Zea mays: one gene and its partner. The protein of the gene in region 1 binds, or shares a complex with, the protein of each later gene. Links are inferred from orthologs where the notes say so. Each region holds a gene or a part of one and is shown on either strand. Other genes may lie near its edges. The genes, in order: SNF1-related protein kinase regulatory subunit gamma-1-like and SNF1-related protein kinase regulatory subunit beta-2.

The links.
Region 2: SNF1-related protein kinase regulatory subunit gamma-1-like (region 1) and SNF1-related protein kinase regulatory subunit beta-2 share a complex: the UniProt entries of both Arabidopsis thaliana proteins name them as parts of the probable heterotrimeric complex. The link is inferred for Zea mays from reciprocal best matches to the Arabidopsis thaliana genes AT1G69800 and AT2G28060.

The regions. Positions count from the first base shown.
Region 1 is NC_050098.1:226,879,585-226,895,405, reverse strand, and holds SNF1-related protein kinase regulatory subunit gamma-1-like, read left to right. Parts: upstream 1-6,150; 5' UTR 6,151-6,414; intron 6,415-6,825; 5' UTR 6,826-6,827; coding exon 6,828-6,987; intron 6,988-7,083; coding exon 7,084-7,526; intron 7,527-7,858; coding exon 7,859-8,125; intron 8,126-8,322; coding exon 8,323-8,495; intron 8,496-8,575; coding exon 8,576-8,888; 3' UTR 8,889-9,156; downstream 9,157-15,821. UniProt on the Arabidopsis thaliana protein: Regulatory subunit of the probable trimeric SNF1-related protein kinase (SnRK) complex, which may play a role in a signal transduction cascade regulating gene expression and carbohydrate metabolism in higher plants.
Region 2 is NC_050096.1:194,656,053-194,671,934, forward strand, and holds SNF1-related protein kinase regulatory subunit beta-2, read left to right. Parts: upstream 1-5,591; 5' UTR 5,592-5,746; intron 5,747-8,537; 5' UTR 8,538-8,561; coding exon 8,562-8,588; intron 8,589-8,674; coding exon 8,675-8,983; 3' UTR 8,984-9,218; downstream 9,219-15,882. UniProt on the Arabidopsis thaliana protein: Regulatory subunit of the probable trimeric SNF1-related protein kinase (SnRK) complex, which may play a role in a signal transduction cascade regulating gene expression and carbohydrate metabolism in higher plants.

The DNA of each region.
Region 1 (15,821 bases):
TCCAGTACCGACTTCTCGCTGAAGCTCTCCCAAACGCTACCCACAAAACAGCTCTTGAGCAAGAGCAGGAGCTAGAATACGGCTGAGAGCCGGAGCTCAAATTTTTGGCTCTCCACGGCTCCACGTATGGGCACTGCGTCTCTCCTCGAGCAGACACCTCTCTCCAAGCCACCCCCATGATGTGATTCAAGAAGGTTGCACGGTGAGCAAAGCATTGGTCGTCCATGCGCTGATGCAGCTGGCAGCGAGATCGTTTTACTCCAAATCAAATAATACAAAAATAATACACGAGGAGCCGTTTTGCCAAACGATTTGTAAAAAGCACATGCTTTTGTTGAGGAGCTACTCCTTTAAAGAAGCCAGATCCATAACTATTTTTAGAGGTGCCGGAGCCCTCCCAAACGGGTCCTAAATATATATAGTAGATAGGACCACATTGCACGTACGATTTGTTCGACTGCCTGTCTATATAGACTCACTGTGGGCATTCGGGTTAGCCCGAAAATTTGGGTCGGGTTTTTCGGGCTTTCTAAATTTCGGGTTTCTAGAAACGATACGCAAAAGCAGTGTGACTGTATTGTATACCCGTTAATTCGGGTACCCGAATTTTTCAGGTTCGGGTTTGGGTAGCCCATTCTACCTGTTTTCAAACCAACTTGGTTAGCCACTGCTTGTCTGCTTTAGTTCACTGTGGTGCATTCCATTTCCAACAGCAAACAAAAAAACATGCATCACAACTGCACAACAAGCATTTAGTGTTTTAAAAAATTTCACATAGCAAAAGTGTAGCACATCACATCAGTTTGACTATTTCTGTCTTCCTGAGAGAGACAAATCATCACATTATTAGTTTACCACAACTCAAAGCCATAGTCGGGCAATCAACAACCAACCAAGCAAAAGCAGGCAACTAGGCAATCACACAGCCACACGCCCATAGGCCATAGTCCAGAACAGACGTTCCACGGTCAGCATAGGCAACAGGCACTTAGACTGGCTCCAATAGGTCCTCTAAAGGGCCCTCTACCTTAAATTTAGAGGATACAACACACTCTATCCAATCCAGCAAGAGACTGCAAACGAGTCTCTAAATTTTAGAGTGTGGTCTTCAGCCGCTAAATGTGGAGATGCACTGTAGATCCGGTATCCTGCACGAGATGGTTCTTTTGGCTGCTAGTGTACCTGGTGTATGTCCTTTTTATTATCTTTTATTTCTTGTCGACCAATGATGTAAAGAGAGAGAGAGTAGAGAACGGACTTTAGAGGATAAATTTAGAGGACTTTATTGGAGACGCTGAAGATATAGAGAACGAACTTTTTTAGAGTATGCTGTAAAGGACAGAGAATATTCCTTTAGAGGATGAAATTTAGAGGATGTTGCTGGAGATAGTCTTAAGCGAGCAGCAAGGTAGCAGACCACTACAATATTTGCACGTCTGCACTGGTGTACGGTCCATGTGGAGATGCTTGGTTGCTGGGCTGCTTCGCTGGGCGCCTGGGCATTGAATTACTGGGTCGTGTGCGCGGCCTGTCATTGGCTTGACGGCTAGCAATCTAGCACACAGGTAATACTTCAGGTTTATTGGGTAGTTTGGGTACCGCGGGGTATTACCCGATTAGGCCCGAATTTAAATCGGGTATTTAGTTTCGTTACCCACTGAAACCGTTCGGGCATCAGACTTTGGGCTAAACGGATATAGGCTCGGGTATTTCGGACTTCGGGCTCGGGTTTTGAAAGTGCATTCATCCCTTTTGTGAGTTTTGGTGATTTGGATAACAACACATTTAAAAAACTAACAAGTTTGCTAAGTGTTGAACAGGAAATTCAGTATGACGAACATACTTGAATAGTATATAATGAACAGTGAACAAAGGTTCAACACGAGGATAAATAACCAATGGGACAATGTAAATGGATATAATATGATCTCTATATTGGTTTGAATATATGGACAAGACCTGAGAAATTACTACATACATATGATCAGAATAGAGGATAAAGTGATTAAGAGGATTGGTTAAGCCAAAGTGGATAAGATATGAGGAATCGTGAATTGGCTTGACCATATTACTATCAGTCCATATATATGCTTCTATGAGAATCAAACTAGAGCTTGATTGATCTTAACAATTATATCTAGAAGACAATCAAGCAAGGTTCACAATATTGAAGAAATGATTCTCTCAATGGATGCTCAATAGGATGTGACTCAAGAATGGCTTGATAGGGTGAAGATAGCAAGGAAAGGGCTTCGAGGAACTAAGCAAAGGTGAAGGCCAAGTGACGGCTTGTAGACCGAGGTACCATGGCTAAGGTGAAGAAGAGAGTACTTGCACTAAGTCGATGAACTAATCAGCTATGAAGAGTTATAACATGTTGATGCATCAGTAAGGTGACTTGAAACCATGATTTGAACTCATATATGGTGATATGGTACAAGTCACATGGTTTGATTTGTGTTTGCTTCAAAAGGTGAGATAAAGATGTTTGTGATCCTTATGAAGCAACGCCATGGAGAAATCACACATGAGACACCAATGACTCAAGGAGTTTACTTCATTTTATTTATTTAACTTGAGTATAGGAATCGTCGTACTATAAAGGGGGATCCAAAAAGAAGGTTGGTGTTTGCCAAAGCTCAAGCCTCTATATTCAAAAGCTATTTTTGAAAACCAAAAATCACTTTAACATTATTTGGTTGACCATGGTTAGGTTTGAGAAACCTAGAGTGTTCTTGCTGAAAAGCAGCTGAACTTCTTCAACTGCAGCTGAACTTAACTTCAGCTGAGTTGAGCTTCTTCAGCTGCAGCTGAGCTTTTCAGTTGAGCTAAACTTTAGCTGAGTTGAGCTTTCTCAACTTCAGCTGAACTCAACTTCAGCTGTGAACCTCTTTGACCATACACCAGCTGAACTTGCCTCCGGGCAGTTGAGCTGGGGTTTTCTCTCCTAAACTCACTGGTCAAGACCGGTTGAACTGGTCCTGAGGGGCAGTTCAGCTGGTCTCTGACCCCTTTGACCTCTAATCTGCAGTCTGCCAGTCAGACTGGCAAACAGGTCGCCAGGAGCTGTCAGGGGCGGTTCAACCGCCCCCCCTAGGCGGTTCAACCGGTGTTGGTCAACTTTGACCAGTCTGCGGTCAGTCTACGCGTCAGTCTGCCAGTCAGACTGGCAGACAGGCTGCCAGGTCTGCCAGGGGCGGTTCAACCGCCCTAGGGGCGGTTCAACCGGTCTCAGGCAGAAAAATCTGCCCAAACGGCTAGTTTTGAGCTCCACCTATATATACTCCCTCCTACCTCTCTCCCACAGCGAAGAGCACGATTTGAACTCCATTTCCAACTTGAGAAACTCCTCCCACTCTCTCTCACACATCTCTTGCCTCTCCCATTTCAAATCTTTGGAGAGAAATCTTTGAGTGAGCTTGAGAGCTACGGTTTTTGTGCTTCATCTCTAAATCTCTCTCGCTCTTCTTCATTCGAGCTTTGGTACTACATCGAGTTCTTTGTGGATTCATTACTCTTGGAGCTTCTAGCTCTTAGACGACTAGGTGTCTCTTGTGAGTCTCCAAATCTTATGGAAGACCACAAGAAAGTTTGTATTACCCGCTCGTTTGAGCAAAGATTATTGTATGGGCTTGACCTTTGTGATCGGCAAAGGGAGGATTAGGGTTGAAAGAGACCCGGCTCTTTGTGGGCGCCTCAACGAGGAAGTAGGGCACCTTGGTGGTGTGACCGAACCTCGGGATAAATCTTGTGTCTCTTGTGATCTTGCTCATTGTGTTTGTTTGTGTTCTTCGTTCTCTCACCCTTCCGTGGAAGATTTGTTCATATCTTTTTGGTGTGTGGATTTTGAGAAGTGCCCTTCTCAGATCTACTACTTTGAACTCTGTGGATCATTTAGAACATCTCATTTCCAAAGTTAACTGGGTGAATTTCGAGATCAATTCAGTTTTACCCAGTTTGCTTCTAGTTTTTGTAGAAAAAGTTTTAACTTGCCTATTCACCTCCCTCTAGGCAACTTTTAGGTTTTATGCCCAGAGCTAATATAGACAGATCAAGAGATCCTGCAGTCTGTATATGCAGAAAAGAGCACAACCAGCTACAATAATAGAAGGCGCTGCTGCAGCCGACACCACCACCTCCGCGGCATCAGTAGAGCCGGGCCGCGCCACCTTCAGGGCGCGGTGCAGCGGCGCGGCCACGATGAGCGACGGGTGCCAGTGGCGGAAGTACGGCCAGAAAGTGGCAGCAACCCGTGCCCGCGCGCCTACTACCGCTGCACGGCCGGGCGCGCCCGACTGCCCCGTCAGGATGAAGGTCCAGCTGTGCGCGCGCGACACGGCCGTGCTGGTCGCCATGTACGACGGCGTCCACAACCACCCGCTCACGCCTACGCCGCCGCGGCGATGGCGTCGTCCACCGTACTCGCGTCGTCCACGCCACGCGACGCGGCAGGCGCTGCTGCTACCGCCGCTCACCGCGCTGCCACCGGCGCCGCAGCGCTATTCGTTCAGCGGCGCCGCCGTGGCCATATCCGGCCCGCCGACTGCGGCGTCCAGTCAATACAACGTCGTCGTCCCAATGGCTAACATCATGATGAAGGCGGTCGCAGACCCTAGCTTCCGAACGGCGGTGATGGTCGCCGTCGCCAGCTATCTCGGCGAGCAGTGCGGTGGAAGAAATGTCGACGACATCTTGACCTTGGCACCTCCCTGCTAGGTGCTAACTGATGGGCTCACACAGTCACACTGGCTACTGCGCTAGGATAGGGGAAAAATGACTTGTACATTTATCGCATTCGATTTAATTTGTCCTTTGCTTACCAGTAACCTACTCCAGGTTGTAACATCATTGTTTTCATTAGCATATCTCACACACGGTTCTCAATTAATTAGTCTTGTAATTAATAGCATTCTTTTTTTTTATGGAAATTGGTTCGTATTGATGTGATATGAATTAGCAGTAACATGATGGTACAATGCAGCCGTTTGAGGTGTTTGGTTCCTAGACACTAATTTTTAGTTCCTTTATTTTATTCTATTTTAGTCACTAGATTATCAAATACGGTAACTAAAATACATATTTAAAGACTAAAATGAATGGACTAAAAAAATAATCCCTGGAAAACTAAACACCCCCTTAATCTTTGTTGGCATTAATATACATGGTAGTATGGTACTAATAAATAAATTGGTCATCTACCTCTGTGAATTCCATGAAATTGATCAGCGTGGATTTTGTTTTAGATTCATGAAATTGGTTATGTTCTTCGTGGCGGGAGCGGCGTAGATAGGATTTTTTTTAATGAGGTATGCCATAATTTTTTCGTAAATAATTTAGTATAATCTATAATAATTTGATATACAATTTAGAATATAAGGATAAGAATAGTATATGAAACTATAGATTTAACATTAACTAGAATGTAAATATAATATATATCAGTTTTTTTAGGTCTCGGTGGACTCATGGTCCGATAGACTGTCTTAGGGTGCGTTTGGTTGCAATGACAGGACGGGATGGGATGGGACGATCCCTCAAATTAGGTTGTTTGGTTCTGGGTCAAGGGTTGGGACAGTACTATCCTGTGTTGTCCCCTGTTGTCCCTCAAAATTGCCCTGTTGTCCCTCAAAATTGGAGGGACGAGAGAGGACGTCAGGGGACGATCCCGTCCTAGCTATCCCACAACCAAACACACCCTAGAGTATGCCACGGTCCACTCGATGGAAGTAAAATATATAATTTAACATAGAAACTTGCATTTATCACTATTTTTTATAATTTTAGGTGTTGTATCATAGTGATAAAATAAGTGTGCACATATGTACACATTAGTTTTTTTTTGTCGTAGGCACAGTCAAATTAGTTTTAGGTGGAGAGGGTTAAAATAAATAATAGCAGTCTGTATTGTATTGGATGCACCAAATCGCTTAATTGGACGATCCCCAATTGTGGAGGAGATATTCTCGGCAACTCTTAAAATAAAAAATCATCTGGAAATATAATTAAAAAAACGGGTCGAATGATCAAATTAGGCTTCGTGTGTTGGACCAGCCCAATCGTGGGGGGTCATAGGCCTCTTTTGACACGAAAAGTCCGGCCCGAAAGTGAAGGGAAGGTATTATACGAAGCAATTATCTATCTTGCTCACGTGGCCTCCACCCAGCGTACATGCGCTGCGGTCGTCTGTTGCCATCTCGCGTTCGGTGGTGACTCCGGGCTCCGGGCGCCCTGCGCCCCTGGATTTCGAACCGAGAAAGAAAGCTGCTGCCCACCGTTTCCCAAGTCCCATCGCCGCCCAAGAACCGGAGCCACGCCGCAGATCCGCCAAAATCACACCTCCTAGCCCGTCCTCCGTCCCAATCTCTTCTCGGGCCAGGGAGGCGGCGGGACTTGGTGCCTGCATCCGAGCCCTAGGTGATACAAACTTGTGCTCTGGCGATGCACCTTGCTGTAGGGATAACTGAACCACTGCGCCGATTTTTCTGATTCCATGTGTAGGAAAAGTCGATGGAGTTTTTATTTGTGGTTTGGAATGATTTAGGCAGATGAATTTAAGTTCAAATCATGCCTGTAGGATGTCTGTTGTAATGCCCAATAGGGATGTCACTCTGTTATCTTGAGAGGATACCTAATTAGATACTAAACTGTGCGTGTAGTTCCTGCAATCAGGATTACTTATATTTCATTAATTGGGTATGTGTGCTGGCAAACCTTATCTTGATGTTAACTGCCCTGCATGTGATATATTTGTTAGTTGGTGTATTTATTAGTTGGTGACAGTGTAGATAGACAATGTTTGATTAATTCTTCAACAATTTCTTGTAGACATGGATCAACCTGAGGAAAACCCTGAATTCCCAAGCTGTGATGCCTACTTTGAAGCTATCCAGTCCAAGAAGAAGTTGCCACTGACTTTGCAAGAATCACTAACTGCTGCCTTTGCTCAGATTCCAGTCTCATCCTTCCCTGAGGTTCCAGCTGGTCGAGGTACACACTTTTGCGAAACAAAACTACTCAAATTGTTTTTTATGTGTTCCATCACCTTTATTCTACAGTTTGTAATCCTCGATGTTTTATATGCAGTAATTGAAATTCCTGGTGATACTTCTGTTATTGATGCTGTAAGGACTCTCTCTGAACAGAACATAAGGGCAGCACCAGTACTGAATCCAGAACCTGGGGCTCCTACTGATTGGCAGGGGAGGTACCTTGGTGTCATCGATTACTCGGCAATCATCCTTTGGGTACTAGAAAATGCTGAGCTTGCTGCTGTTGCACTCTCGGCTGCATCGGCAACTGCTGCTGGAGTTGGCATGGGTGCTGTTGGTGCTGTTGGGGTGGCAGCTTTGGGAACAACTGGCCCAGCTGCTGTAGCTGGCTTAACTGCAGCTGCAATTGGGGCTTCTGTTGCTGGTGGATTAACTGCTGAAAAGGGTGTGGCGAAGGATGGGCTAACTGCTGCAGATCATTTAGGGGAGGATTTCTACAAAGTTTTACTTCAGCAGGAACCTTTCAGATCAACAACAGTAAGCCATTGGTCTTGGCCTTAACAATTACGCATGTAACCACTGAATGAACAAATAATAAATATGTTTTCTTTTGTTAGTATTGATCAAATTTAAGAATCCGTCCACTCAAAGGGACACATTTGACCTAATGTTTTGCTGTGTGGCTGAACGGAATTTTGGTTACCCTACATATATTGCAACTGTTGGCCCATGGTTTAAAGTTTAGACATATCTTGCTTTTTTATTGTTACCTGCACTGTGTTTTGTTGATAAGATTCAATTTAGTTCAGACTCTTCTATTCTAGTTAAATATTGTATGACGATCATCTGTTGTTCTTTTACTACTGCAGGTTCGATCGATTGTTGAGTCGTACCGCTGGTCTCCTTTTGTCCCCATTACACTGGACACTTCCATGCTGACTGTACTTCTGTTGCTCTCTAAGTACAGATTGCGAAATGTCCCTGTGATTGAGCCTGAAAAGCCTATCATCAGGAATTTCATTACTCAGACTGGTGTTGTCAAAGGGCTGCAGCAATGTAAAGGAAGGGACTGGTTTGACTACATTTCTGCACTTCCTCTTTCAGACTTAGGACTTCCATTTATGTCCATTGATGAGGTTATTTTGTCTCCCTTTTCTTGCTGCTTTAGTTGAATACCACCCTTTCATTGGAAGAGCCAGTTTCCTATGTTCTACGACATTCTGATTAATTTACTTGTGCAACCTGCAAAGCACTTCATTATATAATTCTTTATGTGTTTGCCTCTTCAACACACTAGTAAATGTTGATGTGACAATTTTGTTTTTTTTTTCAGGTTATCACCGTCAACAGTGATGATCTTATCTTAGAAGCTTTCAAGTGCATGAAGGATAACAAGATTGGTGGTGTCCCAGTAGTAGAAGGCCCCAAAAGAAAACTTGTTGGCAGTGTTAGCATAAGGGACATCCGCTTTCTGTTGCTTAGACCCAACTTATTTTCAAATTTCAGGTATCAAGCTATCTTACAGCGCGTCCCTGTGTTTTTTTTTGTAATGCATCCCTTGTGTCTTGATGGTTTCTTCCATACAGGCAGTTGACAGTCATTGAATTCATGAAGACTCTAGGCTCCACTCTTCCTGATTCAGAGAGCAATTGCCTGGTGAAGCCACCACCCACTTGCACTCCTGACGCTTCCCTTGGTAGTGTTATTGACAGCATTGCATCAAGAATAACACACAGGATATATGTAGTGGATGATGACCTTGAGGTTGTTGGTGTTGTGACTCTGCGTGATGTGATCTCATGCTTTATTCATGAGCCACCCGGTTATTGCGACAACTATTTGGCTTCAGCGATGGAGAAGCTTGAGGGGAAAGGAGTCAGATCAGTGGAGAAAATTTGAGCTTTTCTGTAGCGTGAATGTTGATAATAACAGGTCAGTATGTGAGGAAGGTTTATTTGGTTGGAACGGTGCATTCGTGTCGTGTTAATCCAGCAAATCCTGTGTAGGTTAAGTAACAAGGCTTCTGTGCTGTTAAAAATATTTTACTATGTCATTTCTTTGGACGGTTTTCTGAACAAATGTGTGGTAACCATTAGGCCTTGTTCGGTTATTCCTACACCAAATGGATTGGATGTGATTGAAAAAAAAATAGTAGAGATTTTTGACTTGTTATGGATTTAAACTCACGTAGGCCCTGTTCGGTTGTTCCGGATTGGAGCCCCGGATTAATTCCTAGCCGGATTACTTCTCTAATTTATATAGATTTTGATGAGCTGGAATGAATCCTGGCTCATTCCGGTACAACCGAACAGGCCCGTAATCTTATTCAATCCATATGGATTCAATTGAAAATGAACAAGCCCTTAGGAGGTGATCCTGTCCATTTAGGCCTAGTTTGGGTACTCTAGTATTGACCTGAATCCATATGTATTGAGGTGGTAACTTAAACTAATTTACATCCAAATCTACCTCAACATATGTGGATTGGTGTCAATACTAGAGTACACAAACTAGGCCGGTAAAACCTTATCGGTTATTTTGAATCCATATGGATTGGAAGAGATTTTGACTTAATAGGGATTGAAAACACTCAATCCATATGAATTGGGATAGAACCGGTTTTACCAGAATCCATATGGATTGAAGGGGATCGGACGGGTCTCAATTCATAACAAGTCAAAATTATTCATAATCTTTTCCAATTCCTTCCTATTATCCGAACAAGGTTGGATACACCTTACAACAAATCCAGAAGATCAAAGGGACAGCGCCGAGAACTTCAGGCATTACTGGTTAACATGTATTTATAGCAGCATTATTTAGTGATGTTATAATGATACATGTAAGTTATGCTTTTATGTAGCCTTTTACTCGCCGGTGGATCACTCAAACGCTTCCAAAACTCCACACAAAAACACTAGAAAGACATACTGTCATACTAAGTTTTTTAGTGATGCCAAACTAAACCGCTGCAATAATATGTGCATACACGACTACAAAGGCTCACAGCTAACAAAGGAAGCTACAACAACAACAACAACAAAGTCTTTTGTCCCAAGCACGTTGGGGTAGGCTAGAGATGAAACCCCGTATGAAAACCTCAGAGCTCAACCCCCAAAGAAAACAGGGGAAACAAAGGCAAAGGAGAACCGAAAACGACGAAACGGGGGAACACATAAAAGAGATAAAACCCACAAGAACCAGCAAGGTCTAAATGGGCACAAGAAAAGGTCAAACGATTAAGGAGGAAAAGCGGAACTATAAATCAAGGTTCTGGCACGTGAATTGCACACTTCCACCCCTTCCTATCCACGGCGAGCTCTTTATCAATATTCCACTCCTTCAGGTCCCTCTTCACTGCCTCTGTCCACGTCAAGGTTGGTCGACCTCTACCTCTCTTCACATTCTCGGGACGCCTAATTATTCCGATATGCACTGGTGCCTCTTCAGGTCTTCGTTGGATATGTCCAAACCATCTCAAACGATGTTGCATAAGCTTCTCCTCAATTGGTGCCACTCCTACTCTCTCTCGTATGTCATCATTCCGGACTCGGTCTCTCCTTGTGTGGCCACATATCCAGCGCAACATACGCATCTCTGCCACACACAGTTGTTGGACATGTCGTCTTTTAGTGGGCCAACATTCTGCTCCATACAACATAGCCGGCCGGATTGCTGTCCTGTAGAATTTGCCTTTTAGTTTGTGTGGCACCCGGGGGTCGCATAAGACACCCGCCGCTTGCCGCCACTTCAACCATCCAGCTTTAATTATATGACTGACATCCTCATCGATGTCTCCATCCTTCTGAAGCATTGATCCTAAGTAACGAAAAGTGTCTTTCTTGGGTACCACTTGCCCATCAAGACTAACATCGCCATCTTCATACCCCATGGCACTGAAATCACACTTCATATACTCCGTTTTAGACCTACTAAGCCTAAAACCTTTTGCTTCCAGCGTCTGCCTCCACAATTCCAACTTTTGCGAAACACCACTCCTACTCTCCTCAATAAGTACCACATCATCGGCAAAAAGCATACACCACGGTATATCTCCTTGTATGTCCCTTGTGACCTCATCTATCACCAAAGCGAAAAGATAAGGGCTCAAAGCCGACCCTTGATGTAGTCCTATGTTAATTGGAAAGTCATCGGTGTCCCCATCACTTGTTCGGACACTTGTCACAACATTAGTGTACATATCTTTAATAAGATTAATGTACTTTGTTGCTACTTTGTGTTTTCCAAGGCCCACCACATTACACTCCTGGGTACTTTGTCATAAGCCTTCTCCAAGTCTATGAAGACCATATGCAGGTCTTTCTTTTGTTCTCTGAATCTCTCCATAAGTTGTCTTAGTAAGAAAATGGCCTCCATAGTTGATCTCCCGGGCATGAAACCAAACTGATTTTGGGTCACGCTCGTCAGCTTTCGCAGGCGGTGTTCAATGACTCTCTCCCATAGCTTCATTGTATGGCTCATGAGTTTAATTCCACGGTAATTAGTACAACTTTGAACATCTCCTTTGTTCTTGAAGATTGGTACTAATGTACTCCGCCGCCACTCGTCGGGCATTCTGTTTGTCCGAAAGATGGTGTTGAAAAGCTTAGTCAGCCATACTATCGCTATGTCTCCAAGGCATCTCCATACCTCGATAGGGATACCATCAGGGCCCATCGCCTTTCCTACCTTCATCCTTTTTAGCGCCTCCTTAACTTCATATTCTTGTATCCTTCGCACAAAACCCCTGTTGTTGTCATCGAATGGTTCGTCCAATTCTATTGTAGAACTCCCATTCCCTCCATTGAACAATTTGTTGAAGTACTCCTTCCATCTATTCTTGATCTCTTCATTCTTCACTAATAGTTGGTTTGCTTCATCCTTGATGCATTTGACTTGGTTGACATCCCTTGTCTTCCTTTCACGAATCTTGGCCATCCTATAGATATCCTTTTCTTCCTGCTTTGTGTCCAACCGTTGATAAAGGTTGTCAAAGGCTTGACCCCGGGCTCTACTAACCGCTCGCTTTGCAGACTTCTTCGTTATCCTATACTTCTCTATGTTTTCTGCACACTTGTCATGATGTAAGCGTTTGTAGCAATCTTTCTTCTCCTTGATAGCCTTTTGGACATCTTCGTTCCACCACCAAGTGTCTTTAACTTCCCTTCTGTTTCCTTGACTCAGCTCAAACTCTTCTGAAGCTATCTTTCGGATGCACATCACCATCTTCCTCCACATGATATTTGAGTCTCCCTCTTCTGCCCAAGGGCCCTCCTCGATAACTCTCTCCTTGAAAGTTTGGGCCACATCCCCTTTAAGCTTCCACCACTTTGTTCTAGTGACCTTGTTATGCTTATTCCGTTGTAAACGAATCTTAAAACGGAAGTCAGCTACGACAAGCTTATGTTGGGTTACCACACACTCTCCAGGTATAACCTTGCAATCTAAGCAGGCATGCCTGTCCTCTTTTCTCAAGAGGACGAAATCAATCTGGCTAGTGTGTTGGCCACTACTGAAGGTCACCAGGTGGGATGTCCTCTTCCTAAAGAAAGTGTTTGCTATAAACATGTCATAGGCTAGGGCAAAGTTCAGGATTTCCTCTCCTTCTTGATTCCTAGTCCCAAAGCCGAAGCCTCCATGCACACCCTCGAAACTGGTGCTAGATGTACCCACATGGCCATTGAGATCTCCTCCTATGAAGAGCTTCTCGCCAACTGGCACACTACTAACCATGTCCTCCAGGCCTTCCCAGAACTCCCTCTTTGAGTTCTCATTAAGGCCTACTTGAGGAGCATACGCGCTGATAACATTGAGAACCAAGTCCCCAATGACCAGCTTGACTAGGATGATTCTATCTCCTACCCTCTTAACATCTACTACTCCATCTTTAAGGCTCTTATCGATCAAGACGCCTACTCCATTCTTGTTTGTTGCAGTCCCCGTGTACCACAACTTGAAGCCTGTACCTTCCACTTCCTTCGCCTTCTGTCCTTTCCACTTGGTCTCTTGAACGCATAAAATATTTACTCGTCTCCTTACCGCAACGTCAACTATTTCTCGTAACTTACCTGTTAAGGAACCTACGTTCCAACTACCTACACGGACCCTAGTTGGCTCGACTAACTTCCTTACCCTTCGCACCCGCCGAGGAAGATGCAAAGACCCTTGCTCATTTTCCACTACACCCGGGCGTCGATGTAGCGCGCTGATAGTCGCCTAGAGGGGGGGGGGGTGAATAGGGCGAAACTGAAATTTACAAATATAAACACAACTACAAGCCGGGTTAGTGTTAGAAATATAAATGAGTCCGAGAGAGAGGGCGCAAAACAAATCCCAAGCGAATAAGCAAGTGAGACACGGAGATTTGTTTTACCGAGGTTCGGTTCTTGCAAACCTACTCCCCGTTGAGGAGGCCACAAAGGCCGGGTCTCTTTCAACCCTTCCCTCTCTCAAACGGTCCCTCGGACCGAGTGAGCTTCTCTTCTCAAATCAAAGCCGGGAACAAAACTTCCCCGCAAGGGCCACCACACAATTGGTGCCTCTTGCCTTGATTACAATGGAGTTGTGATCTCAAGAACAAGTGAGAAAGAAAAGAAGCAATCCAAGCGCAAGAGCTCAAATGAACACGGCAAATCACTCTCACTAGTCACTAGGGCTTTGTGTGGAATTGGAGAGGATTTGATCTCTTTAGTGTGTCTAGAATTGAATGCTAGAGCTCTTGTAGTAGTTGAGAAGTGGAAAACTTGGATGCAATGAATGGTGGGGTGGTTGGGGTATTTATAGCCCCAACCACCAAACTTGACCGTTGGCTGGAGGCGTCTGCTCGATGGCGCACCGGACAGTCCGGTGCACACCGGACAGTCCGGTGCCCCTGCCACGTCATCACTGCCGTTGGATTCTAGCCGTTGGAGCTTCTGACTTGTGGGCCCTCCTGAGTGTCCGGTGCACACCGGACATGTACTGTTTGATGTCCGGTGCACCGGCATGGGCGTGCCTGACGTCTGCGCGCGCTGCGCGCGCAATAAATGCACCGCAGGGAGCCGTTGGCGCCGCAGAGAGACGTTGCTCCGCTGGCACACCGGACAGTCCGGTGAATTTTAGCGGAGCGGCTGCCGCGCGAACCCGAGGCTGGCGAGTTCCTGAGGCCGACTCCCCTTGGCACACCGGACACTGTCCGGTGTACACCGGACAGTCCGGTGAATTATAGCCGAGTCGCCTTGGAATTTCCCGAAGGTGGCGAGTTGGAGTCTGAGTCCCCTGGTGCACCGGACAGGTACTGTTCACTGTCCGGTGGCACACCGGACAGTCCGGTGCGCCAGACCAGGGGTGCCTTCGGTTGCCCCTTTGCTCCTTTGTTGAATCCAAAACTTGGTCTTTTTATTGGCTAAGTGTGAACCTTTTACACCTGTATATACTATACACTTGGGCAAACAAGTTAGTCCAAAGATTTGTGTTGGGCAATTCAACCACCAAAATTATATAGGAACTAGGTGTAAGCCTAATTCCCTTTCAATCTCCCCCTTTTTGGTGATTGATGCCAACACAAACCAAAGCAAATATAGAAGTGCATAATTGAACTAGTTTGCATAATGTAAGTGTAAAGGTTGCTTGGAATTGAGCCAATATAACTACTTACAAGATATGCAAGGAATGTTTCTTTCTTATATAACATTTTGGACCACGTTTGCACCACATGTTTTGTTTTTGCAAATTCTTTTTGTAAATCCATTTCAAAGATCTTTTGCAAATAGTCAAAGGTAAATGAATAAGAGTTTGCAAAGCATTTTCAAGATTTGAAATTGTCTCCCCCTATTTCAAATGCTTTTCCTTTGACTAAACAAAACTCCCCCTAAAAGAGATCCACCTCTTAGTGTTCAAGAGGGTTTTGATATACCATTTTTGAAATACTACTTTCTCCCCCTTTTGAACACAATAGGATACCAAATGATAAAGACTTTTGGAAAGCACTAAGTTTTTGAATTTGGTGGTGGTGGTGCGGTCCTTTTGCTTTGGGCTCATTTCTCCCCCTTTTTGGCATGAATCGCCAAAAACGGAATCATTAGAGCCCTTCTGAGTAATTTCTTCCCCTTTGGTCATAAGTAAATGAGTTAAGATTATACCAAAGACGAAATCCGGTCCTTTTGCTTTTGAGCTTTTACTCTCTCCTCCAAGGATGAAGTCCTTTTCTTTGATGCTCATTTCTCCCCAAGGAATAGAGAGTTGCTCGGAGTGATGGCGAAGCATGAGTTACGGAGTGGAAGCCTTTGTCTTCGCCGAAGACTCCAATTCCCTTTCAATATACCTATGACTTGGTTTGAAATAGACTTGAAAACACATTAGTCATAGCATATAAAGGAGATATGATCAAAGGTATTCAAATGAGCTATGTGTGCAAGCTTAGCAAAAGAAATTTCTAGAATCAAGAATATTGAGCTCATGCCTAAGTCTGGTAAAAGATTGTTCATCAAGTGGCTTGGTAAAGATATCGGCTAATTGATCTTTAGTATTAATGTAAGAAATCTCGATATCCCCCTTTTGTTGGTGATCCCTAAGAAAATGATACCGAATGGCTATGTGCTTAGTGCGGCTATGCTCGACGGGATTGTCGGCCATTTTAATTGCACTCTCATTATCACATAGCAAAGGGACTTTGGTTAATTTGTAACCGTAGTCCCGCAGGGTTTGCCTCATCCAAAGCAATTGCGCGCAACAATGTCCTGCGGCAATGTACTCGGCTTCGGCGGTGGAAAGAGCGACCGAATTTTGCTTCTTTGAAGCCCAAGACACCAAGGATCTTCCCAAGAACTGGCAAGTCCCCGATGTGCTCTTCCT
Region 2 (15,882 bases), on another chromosome or scaffold:
CCCTTTCTATTTCCCTAGCCGCGCAGGAGCTGGGAGCCCCGATCCCCGCCTCCAACATCGCTCCCCCATTCCCCATCACCCACCGGTCGCTACACGCCTCGCGCCTCGCCACGAAGTCGTTCTCCCTCGCGCCTGTGTCGAGCCGAACCACCCGTCAAAGAACAAGGCGCAGCGGAACGCCGACGACGAGAGAGCGGGAAGGACGCCCCCACAGCGGGGGTGGGGGTCGACGAGGTGGCTGACGGGACCGTCGAGCATGTAGGGATCTCCACACGCAGGGGAGTGGCGAGGCCGCCGCAGCGAGGGTGGGGGCTGAGGCGACGTTTTACGGGCCTAGCGAGCAGGCGGGGATCTCTGTCGTCATCCCGGGATGCTTCTCCGAGAAGCGGCCTGGTGCGCGTGCGTCCCGCTCCTCTTCCTTCCTATTCACTTTTTTACTGTGCATCAAATGCTCTACTGTTGTGTTGGCATCTGCTGCGATCGCCTTGAATTCGCTCATGCTGCAAGAGTCAGCAGCTGCGGTGGAGCTGCCCTTGCTGCTGACTTGAGTTTTGAGAGATGTGACATCAGGTGCCTTCGTGGTTCCTTGTTCGCTGGTTACAGCTATACTTTATCAAGTCTGCTAGCAGCGACCGATGCCTCCTTCACGTTGGCTTGTTTGGGATGGTTTAGCAGCATTTACACTGCCTTGACCACCGCCAGCAGTCATCTCCTATCTTTCCTTAGATGATCCATCCTCCCCGTCGTCACTGTCTGAGAATACTTCATCTTTATCATTGCTTCCAGTCCCCTTGTTGGATTCTGCAGGCGCAATACTATTTTCTTTCACAGCCGTGCTAGCCGAGGAATCAGCATCAGATTTATTATCAACTGCTCCAGGGGCTGTTTTTTTTTTGTTTTGGACAGGACTGCAATTCATTGGTAGGAATTTCTCTGTTGCAGTGTACGAACAAGTCAATTCTCCTATAGGTTTCAACATCACCTTTACTGGTTTGCTTAGCCTCACCACCGATATAGGTTTAGAATTTCCTATAATACAAACTAATTTCTGTGGGATTCTTCACGGCTATTCCATTATTTAGTTAGTAAGTAATATACAATTAGTTTGTCAGTTTGGTGGCTTTAATTTGCATATTCTTCTACCATGTTTTGGGAATATTACTAATCTATATTAACTCTTTGAAGCTTGTTGTAACAGAAAATATTCCACTAAAATTATCTTGGTCTTTTTTGTAAACAATTAATTTCTAAATTGTCACACAGTTTTGCATGGTACATACTTTCCTGGCACAGAGTTTCTTCCTGTCATGAACTTATCTTTTTATATTAATTTTAGAAATATACCACCTGCCTGTAACCCTCGGGTCAGTCCGTCCGCAGTAAGAGAATTGTATAAAAGGTCTATTTAGGTGACCCATGATATAATTTCTCAGATGAGTTTTTCTACTACAATAGTTTTATTGCCTAGGTGCAGCAATAATCAGTATTAAGCAATACATGATCAAGTTCAGTATTGCTACAATTAACTCTTAAATGTAGTTTTGTTTTACATATTATATCTCAAGTTAATTATCCTATCCATGTTGTCTTGTATTTTTGCGTTGAAGAGATGGAATGTTGGCAGAGAGAACATGCAGAGAGGTACAAATTAAGGTTCATCGAGATAGATTTGAAGGCTTTTTATTTCAGTGAAAATTGATGCTGACCAGTCACTTTTTTGTTTTGGACAGGACTGCAATTCATTGGTAGGAATTTCTCTGTTGATGTGTACGAACAAGTCAATTCTCCTATAGGTTTCAACATCACCTTTACTGGTTTGCTTAGCCTCGCCACCGATATATGTTTAGAATTTCATATAATACAAACTAATTTCTGTGGGATTCTTCACGGCTATTCCATTATTCAGTTAGTAAGTAATATACAATTAGTTTGTCAGTTTGGTGGCTTTAATTTGCATATTCTTCTACCATGTTTTGGGAATATTACTAATCTATATTAACTCTTTGAAGCTTGTTGTAACAGAAAATATTCCACTAAAATTATCTTGGTCTTTTTTGTAAACAATTAATTTCTAAATTGTCACACAGTTTTGCATGGTACATACTTTCCTGGCACAGAGTTTCTTCCTGTCATGAACTTATCTTTTTATATTAATTTTAGAAATATACCACCTGCCTGTAACCCTCGGGTCAGTCCGTCCGCAGTAAGAGAATTGTATAAAAGGTCTATTTAGGTGACCCATGATATAATTTCTCAGATGAGTTTTTCTACTACAATAGTTTTATTGCCTAGGTGCAACAATAATCAGTATTAAGCAATACATGATCAAGTTCAGTATTGCTACAATTAACTCTTAAATGTAGTTTTATTTTACATATTATATCTCAAGTTGATGATACAATATGTGGCTCCCAACAGTATGCTTAGTTTTGCATGTCTTGTGCCTGCTATTTTCTACCAACCATTTAAGTGTGTTTGTGATGAATAATTTTTAAGGCATCCTTACAAAATTCTGTTATTTGAAATTGCTACAACTCATAATGCTATGCAAACTAGCAGAATGCAGTGGTTAATTTTGTATAGAAATGAGCAACCTATGTTACATCAATTATTGTGTGTCAGTTCTAAATTTCACATTCCACTAATATGCATCGTCTTCTTTTAATTTTGGTGTTCCATAAGCAACCTATTTTGTTGTTATTTACTAAATATGAGCATATCTTTTGATTCTTATTAATCATGATTTGACACCTGTGTATTATAGGAAAAACTGTTGGGAGTTTGGAAGACATGATTATTTCTATGGTGTTTGCATTTTTAGATTAGTGAAATTTATAGAAACGTTGAAGTGTCAAGTTATTTCTGGGTGTGCTTTCTCGTCCTTTGGCGGTAGAGTATAGTGCTTGCTTATTTGGTGCAAACGCCATGAAGTCCCTATTGAGAAGGTATGCAATTTCTGGTTCTAACAATATTTGTTTTTCTCCAAATTCCCCTGTTGCAAATGCCTGCAGTTATTGAACATGCTGTTCTGCTAACAGATTTTCAATAAATCTCTTCTTAGGAAATTTGTATGGGCAATGGACATTGACTCGGAATTCAGATTCTAGGAGAGCATTGGCACGTTATTTGCCTCTGTTAATTTCAAGAAAAACATGACAAGTTAATTTCAACAATGCACGTTATTCACCAAACCACACCTTATCCAGGGAACAATGGAGTTATTGATGGCCATAGCTTGGTATGGTGGCATTGGTTGCGCTCCTATGAGCTGAACCATAGCCGACCCAACCTTCTGGAGTTCTTGTATTCTGAAGATATTGTGATCTCAAACTTGACGTTCTTAAATCCACCAGCCTAGAGCATACATCTGGTGTACTGCAGGTGCAACGCAATTAACTTAGCTCTGTGCATAAGGTGTGGTTTGGTGAATATTAGCTACATATGTACTAAAGCATAGTGTCTTTGTATTCTCCAGTAATGTAAAGGTCCACAATGTGACGATTGAGACCTCGCTGGACGCTCCACTCACTGATGGCATAGTTCCAGGTATGATTTTTTTTCTAGGCTGAATGGACCTTTTTATGATTTATTTTCTTACAGCATAGATATTTGAATTCATTCTTGATGGTAGGCTGGTATTATTTAGTGATTTAGTTCTGAATGCAGCAAAAAACATCTTGATCTCTGAAGAAAACTTATTCTCCTTTTCCATTTCTTGTTGTACTTGGTAGCATAAAAACCTGAATAATATGCCCTAACTGTTGCCCCATATGCTTAACAAATAATCTGAACCACTCTTACTTTGTAACTCTTAAAATGCACTAGACAGCGATGTCGAGAAGTTTTTAATCATCCCACTAATTATCTGTTCTTGCTCCATATTCATATTCAAACTTATGTATCAAGGACAACACCATAATTGTCAGCCATGAAGTTATCTCGCTGAAAAACAGATGGGACAGGTATAGCATTGCCTTTGGGAGGCTTACCACTTCTATCATCTTTCAGAGCCGCTCTTGCATTTGGGAGTGAGATGTCTGGCGGAATCTTAGACATCCATGTTGACCACCTCTGGATCCATGACTCCTCCAAGGGTATTTCTTTCAGACCTCACCGACCGTGGGGGTTACATAGAAGACGTGGTATCAACAGATGCTTGGAAAGTTTTCTGTCGCCAAATGGGAAACAAGATATTGTAGGCCTGGAGCCGTGAAACAACGACACCGCAAGACTGTACAACAGCTTCAGGTGAGCAGCCATCTATGAGCAGCCCTCCTGCCATTGAGGCCTGTGCTGGCAACGACGGAAGCCATTTGGTGGGATCTCAGCCAGATGCTACGCCATATGCTTCTACCAGCACAACGCAGAGGATGAGTTCCGAAGCATTAGCAAGCCAGCAATGTGGATCACTACCACAAATTTCGATAAATCGAGCTGAACGTACCCTTGAGATGAAGGGCAGCCCCAATAATCTTCACTGACACCCAGGCATGCAGCAAACTACGAATGGTTTCAATGATGTTCCAGGTGCCAAACCAGACTCTTAACTACACTTGTACGGTTAATGTTCCATTTCTCATGACCATTTTAGTTCAAAGTTCATGACCTTTGTGTGTCTGTCTTTTTTCAGGACCAATGATGTTCCCACATGTGGCTCAACTGGTGGTGAATCAGATGCAGACACATACGGCTGATTGATAATGTTGTGTGTGTGCCGGGGGGGGTCGGGTCGCCTTTGATCCGTCGCGCCTCAACCTGGGGCTGCAACTGTGAGCCTGTTGTGTAATTGCTTAAGTAGTTATTAGGATGATAGCGTGCATAGATGTGTTGGGTGGATGCTGTAACAGCGGTGACCGGTGAGTTGCGATTCTGAATGTGTAGCAGAAAAACCACAACCGAAATGAAACATCTGTATAGATTATCGAGGATTTTTTAGCATGAAACCGTGCGAATCAGTTTGTCTATTGTCTGTATGGTTTATATATAGACATCAAACTGACGGTGTTCCCGGACTGCTTAATCTCTGCTGCCAGTAACATGATTAGGAGTGACAAGAGAGGCCATGCTTGTTTAGAGCAAAATCAGCCATGCACCAAATAACAAGTGAGGTTGGTGCTTTCTATCTCAACTATGATGGTTTAATCGCTGGATCTTATCTTCATTACTACATAGTTAGATCCTTTAATATTTGGTGCATGGCTGATTTTTGTCACTCATTACCTAGATCAACTCACTTGTTATGATTGTTGAGTTGTTTTTTGATAACATCACTAAACAATGTCATATCCGTGTATAAGTGTCCCCGTTGCAACGCACGGGCATATGCCCTTCACCCAATCACTTGCAGCTTAAAGGGCATCTGAATTAGTGGTTTTAAGGTATTAACATTACAATTTTTGGTACATCTCAATATTGTCTCATGTGCATTGGGTGAAGGATTTTATCGTATTGATTCCGTAGCAACGCACGGGCATATACCTAGTGAATTATGAAAAAAGGCTAGAGGAAGGCCCGTGGCCTGTGGGCGGCCTGGCGCGCTCTTTCTGACGCCGTCGATGCATAACCCGCATCCCCCTTCCGCGGCATCCATCGTCGGCTCCTCGTGCGTTGTCTCTCTCTCTCTCTGTCTCTCTCTCTCTCGTCCCCCTCGCTCTCAGACGACCGGTGGGCCGCCGCCGCCGACGCCGCAATAAGCCAGGTGCTGAGGCTCTTGTTGGTCTCTTCGCCAGCGAGGAGCACCCAGCAGGTACTCCCACCCGTCCTCCTCCCTTCTCTTCATGCTGCGCGAAGCTGAACACTGAAACCCTAATCTAAAGCTATTTAGCTATTTTACAAGCTTCCGAACTTCGATGTTTTTGCAAAAATTACTGGGTGCACATGTGTACACCGATGTTCCTTTACTGGATCCGCCCCTGCGGTGAAGCTCCAGCAAGGAGCAGCCCATACCCTGCGGTGGCACATGGGGAAGTATGTGGCTGGTTTTGTGATACTTATCATGTTTGCCAAACAATCATCCAGATCCTAGACCTATGTGCACATAATTTCCTAGTCACTAATATTCATACGAAGATAATTTTCCTAAATTGCTGTTAGAAGAAGGAAAAATGAAGTAGATCAACCAACAAATCACAGAGCACGACACATAGATTTACGTGGAAAACCCTTTGATGCGAAGGGAAAAACCACGGGCTCTAGCCAGGCGAAACCTTCACTACACGTGGAGTGTTTACAGAACGCCATCCGTAGACGGTGGCTTACAAGAGGATAATGACGACGCGCAGCAAACCCTAATTAGGGTCACTAATATATACCGCGGGGGTCTCCGCCCCCCGCACCCCCTGCCGTGTAGGGCTGGGTCGGAGCGTAGCGATGCCAACAAGGCCTCTATATGCAGAATTTGGACCACAAACTCAACAATTGCCAAGCAGGCCCTTACAAAGGATAATTCATGTACTCAACTGCAATGTAAGTGGAGAGGGACTGCCATATACTGGACTGTGATACCTTGCCTGAAATATTTTCCTAGTATATGACCGTGACCTTTTCCCAAGTACTTTAGGCTAAAATTGATCTATTGGAATACCATTTGGATTCTTATTGTTGCTTCAAATCTTTTAGCCGTATGATCATCCCATTTAGTAATGTCCTAAGTTCAAAAATGATTGCTGGTGAAATGCCATTCAATTGCGTTTGATCTGTATGGGAACAGCAAAAGATCTGAATTTAATTTTGCCTAGAATTTTATCAAATCTGGATTCTGACATATCGAAGTCAATATGTATTCATAGTTTTATCTTCATCACAAAGCTTGCTGCTTTTTATGTAATTTCAGTTCTACTCGGTTCATAATTCATCTTATTACTTGCCCCCCCCCCCCCCCCCCCCACCCGGCGGTAAATGGTATGAATATACCATGCAATCTTGGTGGAGTGGATTACAAATATTATGCAAAATAAGACTACCTCCGCAAATTAGCCAGGTGGCTCTTAGTTTGTTCGGTAATTTAGCTACAAATTATCTTCCATTGTTTGTTTCTATTAGCATCCTGAATCTTGCAAGCAGTATCACTAAACAATTAGCGCAGAGACAAAATTGTAATGCTGACCGTGCTTTCATATACCTTTCTACTTGGCCATGGGTGGACCTGTGCTTTAGTTTTTTTTTTCTACCGATGATTGCTGTGCGCCAAGGCTCAACGAGTGGGACATGGTCGCTGGCGGTGGTTCCTACAAACAAAGTAGTATTGCCTGAGATAATACTGCAGATATCCAGATAATGGCCTACAGTTGCAGTACTCCCATGAGCAAGAAATATGTTTTAACTCATTCTAGAGATGGACAACGCAAAAACATATCCATCCATGAACTAATTGCATCAGAATCAAACTGCATAAGGGTGATGGTTATTAGGGATATGTGAAACATCGGTGTTATTCACAGTCCTACACGCAAACATGTGCATCCCCTACCCACTGCTAACAAGTAGAAAATGCTGATATTTACTCTGCTTGAGAAAAATGCACAATGAAAGATAGTTTTGGTATCCTATATAGTTTTACTCTACTTGACACCAATTCTAAAGGTAAGGTACGTTGCAGCATTAGTTCGGTTCGTTTCAGACTGGAAAAAAAAGAGAAATGGAAAATCAACCAGAACTGTCTCAGGAAAGATGGAAAAGAGACTTCGATTGGAAACTGTCTGCATCAGGAAAGGTGTGCTGATTGCGGTGTTAGGGGGAGGGACGCTGATTGACGGTGGGGGCCTGCAGGGGTAAATCAGCTACTATCACTGTCCAACAACAAAGAGCTATTACCAACCTGACCCTGTTATCGGATTTGTTTCAGTACAACAAGAAGTAAATGGACTGACCTTTTCGAATTATAAACATGTGGTGTATGTTTGTCTCTCAGAGAAATCTTATCATAGATTGTCTCTGACGATTCCAAAACCTGATAAACCTTATCACAGATTGTCTCTGATGATTCCAAAACCTAAAACAAAGAACGCACAGCTGAACATAGACTTGAAGTAACTACTACTCATGTAACGAAAAAGGTCTCATGAACACATACTGCAAGAGGTCGCGGGAGTACATAGAACCCAAGCACTAACAAGGTCTATAATCTTAAAAGCTTTCAAGACTTGTTGCAGTACACAGCAAAGCCAGATAATCTTAAAGTGAGACCGTCTCAACCTACACCAGATATAAATTCCATTCCAGTTAACTGCAAAGGAAAGTAATCACCACAATACAGGGACAAATAGAGTGTGTCTGACTTCGTAATGATGAGGAATAGAATCAATAGATTTCCAAATCTATGGATGAGTAGCACAAAGGACATCTACTTCCAGTTACATACAAATGACATCGAAACATTTAGTGAACGTGTGCAACACATGCAATCTGCAGTAGATGTTTCCGTAAAAAACCAATGAGGACCCTCAAGAGCCTATTAAGCATGATAGTTCATAGTCCAGATTCCTTTTTTGTCGTTAAATTCTTTACTAACATGAGCATGTTGTATTATCTCCCTCCAGGACAAGGCAACAGGCTGTTGGAATATGGACCAACAAGGCATGCATGACCATGTAAGGAGTTACATAACCTTGCATATATATGTACAGTGGGTACCAAAATTTCTGTGGCTAACTTATGGTTGCTAACCATGACCCAGGAAGGGGTCCACGTTGTTGGATTTGAAGTCCCGCCTTCACCGGATTCCAGCTACGACAACCCTGTTCCTGGGAATGAAGACGAAGGCCGGGAGCCCCCACTGATGCCACCTCATCTGCAGCACACGCTGCTGAGCTTCCCACCAAGCCAAGACGAGTCGAGCCCGCTGCCCCAGCCCCAGACCGTGGTTCTGAACCACCTTTACATCGAGAAAGAGAACACGAGGTCCATGGTTGCTCTGGGGATCACGCACCGGTTCAAGGCTAAGTTCGTGACCGTCGTGCTTTACAAGCCAGTGCTGAGGCGGTAGGGTGTGGTCGTGTGCCTGCGCTCCTGCTCCCTCTTCTCGCGCAGGATCGGTAATGGTAATGCCGTAATGGTAATGGTAATTGAACACCCCTTGGGTTGCAGCCCACCCCTTCCAGTTGTTGTTATTGTTGTTGTAGTGGTGCAGAAACGGGCGAGAACGTCATTTTCGAATGATTATTAGCCTTGTTGTACCTAATTTGGCTGCTGGTGGTGGCAGTGATGGTTTGGTTGGAGTAGTTTGCTTGTGATTTGGCACCATTCTTCTGTCGCTGCTGTTATGATTGCGGATGTGCCGGCTCTCTGCATTTTGACCGGTCAATCGGACAGTGCAATTGGACCGAGACGAGAGTACCTTCGCTCACAAATATTCCTGGGGTGGAGACATGTTGCACCATAGGAATATCAGAAAAATTCTATAGCTCTAATAGTTAGAGTACGTAAATAATATAATAAATAGCTTTGTGTTCTTTACTTTCCAACAACTCCGTTGTAGTCTAGTTGGTCAGGATACTCGGCTCTCACCCGAGAGACCCGGGTTCAAGTCCCGGCAACGGAAGACCTTTTTTTTTCCTACTCCGAATTTTGTAAAGTTATTGGGCTTATTTTGGGCCAATAGTCGAATCGGCCTGGTCGCATCTCGTTTGTTTCTTTTCTATTCAAGAATTAAAGTACTGCCAATTAGTAGTTAATGTAAATTTGGAGGCTCTTGCAATTTTAATGCAACATACTCATCTTGCTTGGACGAACGATCAGGAGTTAGAATGAGCACTTGCTTTACCGAGAGATGACTTCGCATTTACCAAAAATATAGAGTGAAAAGACGTGTAATAATCATTGGCAAGTGAGATGAGGGAGAGGGGATAAGAATTAAAAGATGAAAGAAAAACAAAGCAAATCAAATGTTTATGTATCTAGATTGAGACTGAAAGCTTGCAATGTTGAAGAAAAAAGTTGCAAGTTGGAATTGCCCATTCTGCCAACATTATAGTCTCTAAAGTCACAACGACACTCGTGCAGTCAACATTATTATCAGCATGGGGAGTGTCATACCTCCTAACGTTGTTGTTAGCACTCGAAAGAAAGCTATATACCTCGTTGTTTTGTTAAGATGCTCTCAGAGATCTTGTTTCAGGACACTGACTTTAGAGCTCACTATTTTCGAGGCTCTAGGGACCTCCCCCGGTTCCAACCAAGAGAGATCTTGGTCCAAGTGACAAATATATAAGATGACTCGGCTATAAAAAGACACGACGACCATCCAGGCCCCCTACACCCTATGAGGCCCGAGGCCCCTAACATCCTGGGACCTCCAAGAGAGAAATAATTTGAAGTCCCCAAGGCACTTTTGGCCACGTGGCACTCAAAAGATTAAGCCTCTCATCCTCCACATGTCATGGAGCATTTAAAAGTCCTTAGGGCCTCTTGTGTCCCAAGGCACTTATAAGTAAAAGCCCTCGAGGACTCTTGTATCATATACACTTATAAGTACAAGTTTTTAGGACATCTCGTGTTCCAAGGCACTTATAAACCTAAGGCCTCAGAGCCTCTTGTGTCCCGAAGCACTTAGAATCTAAGTCCCTAGGGCTCCTCATGTTCACGTGGAAATAATGTAATAGATGTTTGGGGGCCATATGTCCACTAGGCACTACCGGTGATTAGCCACCTGTGGCCTCTGATGACCTTATTGTCTTTGGAGCCCTTGATCTCGTTCATCGAGGGCAGCCGAGACCATGGTCCCCAAGGATGTTAAGGACTTAGGGAAGTTGAGTGTAAAACTGTCTCATGGCAGAATAATGTGTCAGGCCCATCTAAGACAATATAGCCTCGGGAGATGGACCCCACTTCTATGCACCCGATAATAGATCTATAACAAAATCTTCATGGATATGTCTCGAGCACAACTCATTAATGTGTGATGGGCGACATAACAAGCCTGTTGTACGCGCATCAATCCTGTAGCCACATGAAATGTACCGCAGAACACAATAAATGCAAAAAATACTACACCGGATACCGATTACATCAGTCAAGTGCCTCAGGCTTAGATGTCCATAGATGTAAGTCGTCATGCCTACCCTTGCGACCGGTATGACAAACACATCGGGGGATGAGTAGTGGATAGAGCCCTAGTACCGCAATAAATGCAAGAGATGACCTTAGGGTCGGCCACTTCTTCGCCCTCACATACACACACTCAAGGGGCAATGCAACTGTCGTCGAGGGACAAGATTTAAGACAAGATTTCTAGGGACACTATAATTGAAGACCATGCCTAGCCCTATCTGGATCTGCAGCAAACGTCATGGTGTACTCGATGAGTAGCATGCAACGCATGCCACTTGTTGATGCCTTTCCGGAGCGTCAAACACTCAACAAGAACCGTGGCGGTGCCCTCTGCACAGGGGCGGACGGTCCGCGCGCGGGGCCGGACGGTCCGCGGTCTGGTGCGAGGCGTGGTGGTACTCTCTACGCAGAGGCGGACTGTTCGTGGCCTGGGGCCGGACGGTCCGCGGCCTGGTGCGCGGCTAGGGCTTCTCTGCCTGACGGCCGGACGGTCCGCGCCCTGGGGGCCGGACGGTCCGCGCGTACGCAGAGGCGGCGGAAGTCGCCGGCGGCGCCTGGATCTCGCTCCCGGGAGGGACCCCGTCGGGGAGGAGAGATCCTAGGTGGTGTCTAGGCTCGGGCCGACCGACCTAGACTCCTCTAATCGACGTAGAGCCGAAGAGAGACGAAGAATTTGGGGATTGGATAGCTAAACCTAAACTAGACTAGAACTACTCCTAGGATAAAATGTAAATTGTATTGATTGAAGGTTCGATTCGTTGTTTCAAATCGACCGTAGACCTCTCTATTTATAGAGGAGGAGGGCTGGACCCGTTACAAACAAATTTCCGAGTGAATCCCGCGAATCTAGCTAACAACCGTAGCACAAAACTCGGAACCCTAAACTGCTCTGCGCACACGCGGACCGTCCGGCCCCCAGGCGCGGACCGTCTGGACCGCGGACAGTCCGGCCTCAGGGCCGGACCGTCCGCCCTGCTCAAAATGGGCTCCAACATATGCCCCCTGCCTTTTGGTGGAGCTAAGCGAACCAAAAGCATCTTAACACGATGTAATTACATCAGTTTTCTTAAGCATTCTGCCACATACTGGGATGATACTGCTTGAGGAAACGCCCATTCAAAGCCTTAGGCAAATCTTTGCCTTGTAATGTTTGTAGCAAATAGGCGTTGCCAGACATCAGTTGTTTTACTTTATAAGGACCCTCACAGCTTGGCGACCATTTCCCGAACTTCCGGTCTTTATTCCTTAGAGGCAGAATGGTCTTCCACACCAGGGCCCCTACTTGAAATGATTTTGCTTTGACTTTCTTGTTGTAGGCCTTGGCTACCATGATTTTGTCCTTTTCTATTGCTCCCAAAGCTATCATCCTCTTGTCGGTCACCTCATCAATATTATCCATCATTGAATTATAATAATCAGTAGCAGTTAGATCATTTTGTCTGGCGAACCTGACTGCATTCAAACTTATTTCCACAGGCAACACTGCTTCCTGCCCATAGACAAGCTCAAAAGGAGATACTTTAATAGCCCTATGTTTAGATATTATATGAGCCCATAAAGCTTCAGACAAAATCTTATGCCAATGTTTAGGATTATCAGATATCTTCTTTTTTATCAAATTAATCAATGTCCTATTACTAGACTCGGTCTGTCCATTGGCTTGAGCATAATATGGAGATGAATTAAGCAGCTTAATTCTGTATGATTCAGCAAATTCACGTACCTCCTTTGATATAAAAAAGTACCTTGATCTGTAGTCAAGGTCTGGGGAATGCCGAATCTATGAATAATATGCTCAGTTATGAACTCAATTACCTCCTTGTGCGTCATGTTCTTTAGAGCAACGACTTCAGTCCATTTGGTGAAATAGTCAGTGGCAACTAACACAAACTGATGCCCCTTTGATGATGAAGGATGAATTTCTCCAATAAAGTCTAATCCCCATCCTCTGAACGGCCAAGGCTTGATGATAGGATGTAATTCGGCTGCAGGGACCAACTGTAGGTCGCCGAATTTTTGACACACTTGACAACCCTTGTAGTACTTGAAACAATCAGCTATCATACTAGGCCAATAAAAACCAGACCTTCGCAACAACCACTTCATCTTTGGAGCTGATTGATGAGTACCACAAATTCCTTCATGTACTTCGGCCATGGCTAATATAGCATCATCTGGGCCCAAGCACTTGACCGTTCGGCGGTAAAGTTCATCACTCATCAAAACATACTTGAAAGCTGTTTGCTGAATGTTCTTATCTGTCCTGATATTGGGATTTCGTAAATAATTAAGTATAGGTGTCCTCCAATCACTTGCATCGGTTTCATTGTCAGCCGAATCGATTAAGAGAACATTTCTGGTAACCCCGGACGGTTCGGCGTCATCACGCGGACGGTCCACGACCTGGGAACTTGGCTCTGCACTGGTTATCAGATTTTCAGTTTTGTGAAATTTCCCTCTCTTTATCCGATAACCTGATGCATCTTGTGCCAAATCGTTAGCTCTATGATTCTCAACTCTAGAAATATGCCGAATATTGAATTCGTCAAAAGAATGGATTATGCTCCAACATTTCTCAAGGTAACTATTTAGAGTACCATCAAAACATTGATATTCTTCTAACACTTGTTGGACAACCAGCTGAGAATCACCAAATACCTTCACATGTTTTACTCCCATACCATTTAAAAGTTCTAAGCCGAATAGGAGGGCCTCATATTCAGCTTGATTATTAGTGCAATAAGTTTTCAATCGGCTAGAGAAGTCAAAGGAGACATTACTTGGTGAAACAAGCACAAAGCCAATTCCTTGCCCTTCATTGCAAACCGATCCATCAAAATATAAAGTCCAAGGAGTAATAGTGAGGTATGACATGTCTAGTTCATGAATATCATTAACCCGATGTTCTACAATGAAATCCGCTACGACTTGGCCTTTCATAGATTTCAATGGTTCATAGGCCAAGTCATATTCTATGAGTGCATAAGCCCACTTACCAATCCTACCATTCATAATTGGGTTATGCAACATGTATTTGATCACATCGGCTTGACCAGAAACAGTGCAATGACTAGACAGTAAATAACATCTACATTTGGTGCATGCATAAAACAAGCATAAACATAACTTTTCAATAAAAGTGTACCTTGTTTCCGCATCCACCAACCTTCGGCTTAGATATGTCACCACATGCTCCCTCCCCTCAGTTTCTTGTGTCAGAACAGCCCCATTAACCTTATCTTCAGCTGCAATGTATAATCTGAATGGTGCTCCTACTTGTGGTGCTTTTAACACGGGAGCCGAAGACAAGTATTTTTTAATGAGATCAAATGCTTCCTGCTGCTCTGCCCCCCAAGTGAATTCGGCATCATTCTTAAGCCGAAGGATAGGGGTGAAGGCATCAATCTTCCCAGCTAGGTTAGAAATAAACCTTCATAAATAATTCACCTTGCCGAGAAACTTCTGCACTTCGACCTTACAAGTCGGAGGTCCCACATTCCGAATAGACTTGATTCGGTCAGGGTCTATTTCTATACCATGTTCATGGATGACAAATCCTAAAAACTTACCAGCCGACACTCCAAAAGCACATTTACGTGGGTTCATTTTCAAACCATACCGACACATTTTATCAAAGGCTTTGCGCAAATCAGCTATATGAGGACTAAACTCAGCCGATTTGACTACAATATCATCAATGTAGACTTCCACAGTGTTTCCTAACAACTCATGGAAGATCAGATTCATAGCCATCTGATAAGTAGCACCAGCATTTTTAAGACCGAATGTCATGACAACCCATTCAAATAAACCAATGAAGCCTGGACATATAAAGGTCGTTTTAGACGTATCCTCTTCGGCCATGAAAATCTGGTTATATCCGGCATTACCATCAAGAAAGCTAATAATTCTATTTCCTGATGCATTATTGATTAATGTGTCGGCTATGGGCATGGGATATTGAGAGCACCTAGAGGGGGGGTGAATAGGTGATCCTGTGAAACTTAAACTTATAGCCACAAAAACTTGTTAAGTGTTAGCACAATAATCGCCAAGTGGCTAGAGATGAGTCTCAACAAAACACAATACCACAAAAGATCAACACAGAGAAGACACAGTGGTTTATCCCGTGGTTCGGCCAAGTACAAAACTTGCCTACTCCACGTTGTGGCGTCCCAACGGACGAGAGTTGCACTCAACTCCTCTCAAGTGATCCAATGATCAACTTGAATACCACAGTGTTATGCTTTTCCTTTCAATATCCTGTTTGCGAGGAATCTCCACAACTTGGAGTCTCTCGCCCTTACACTTGAGATTCACAAAGAAATACGGAGTAAGGGAGGGAAGCAACACACACAAATCCCCAGCAAAATGCGCACACACACGGCCAAGAATCGAGCTCAAAAGACTATCTCAAAGTTCTCACTAGAACAGAGCTTGAATCACTGCAAATGACAAACGAATGCGCAAAGACTGAGTGTGGATGATCAAGAATGCTCTAAGGTTGCTTGGTGTACTCCTCCATGCGCCTAGGGGTCCCTTTTATAGCCCCAAGGCAGCTAGGAGCCGTTGAGAGCAAATCTGGAAGGCCTTTCTTGCCTTCTGTCGTCGGGTGCACCGGACAGTCCGGTGCACACCGGACACTGTCCGGTGCCCAATTTCCTTCCTTAAATAGCGAAGCCGACCGTTGGCAGACTTGGAGCCGTTGGCGCACCGGACATGTCCGGTGCACACCGGACAGTCCGGTGCCCCCTTCTAGCCGTTGGCTCGGCCACGTGTCCCGCGCAGATCGCGCGGCCGACCGTTGGCCCGGCCGACCGTTGGCTCACCGGACAG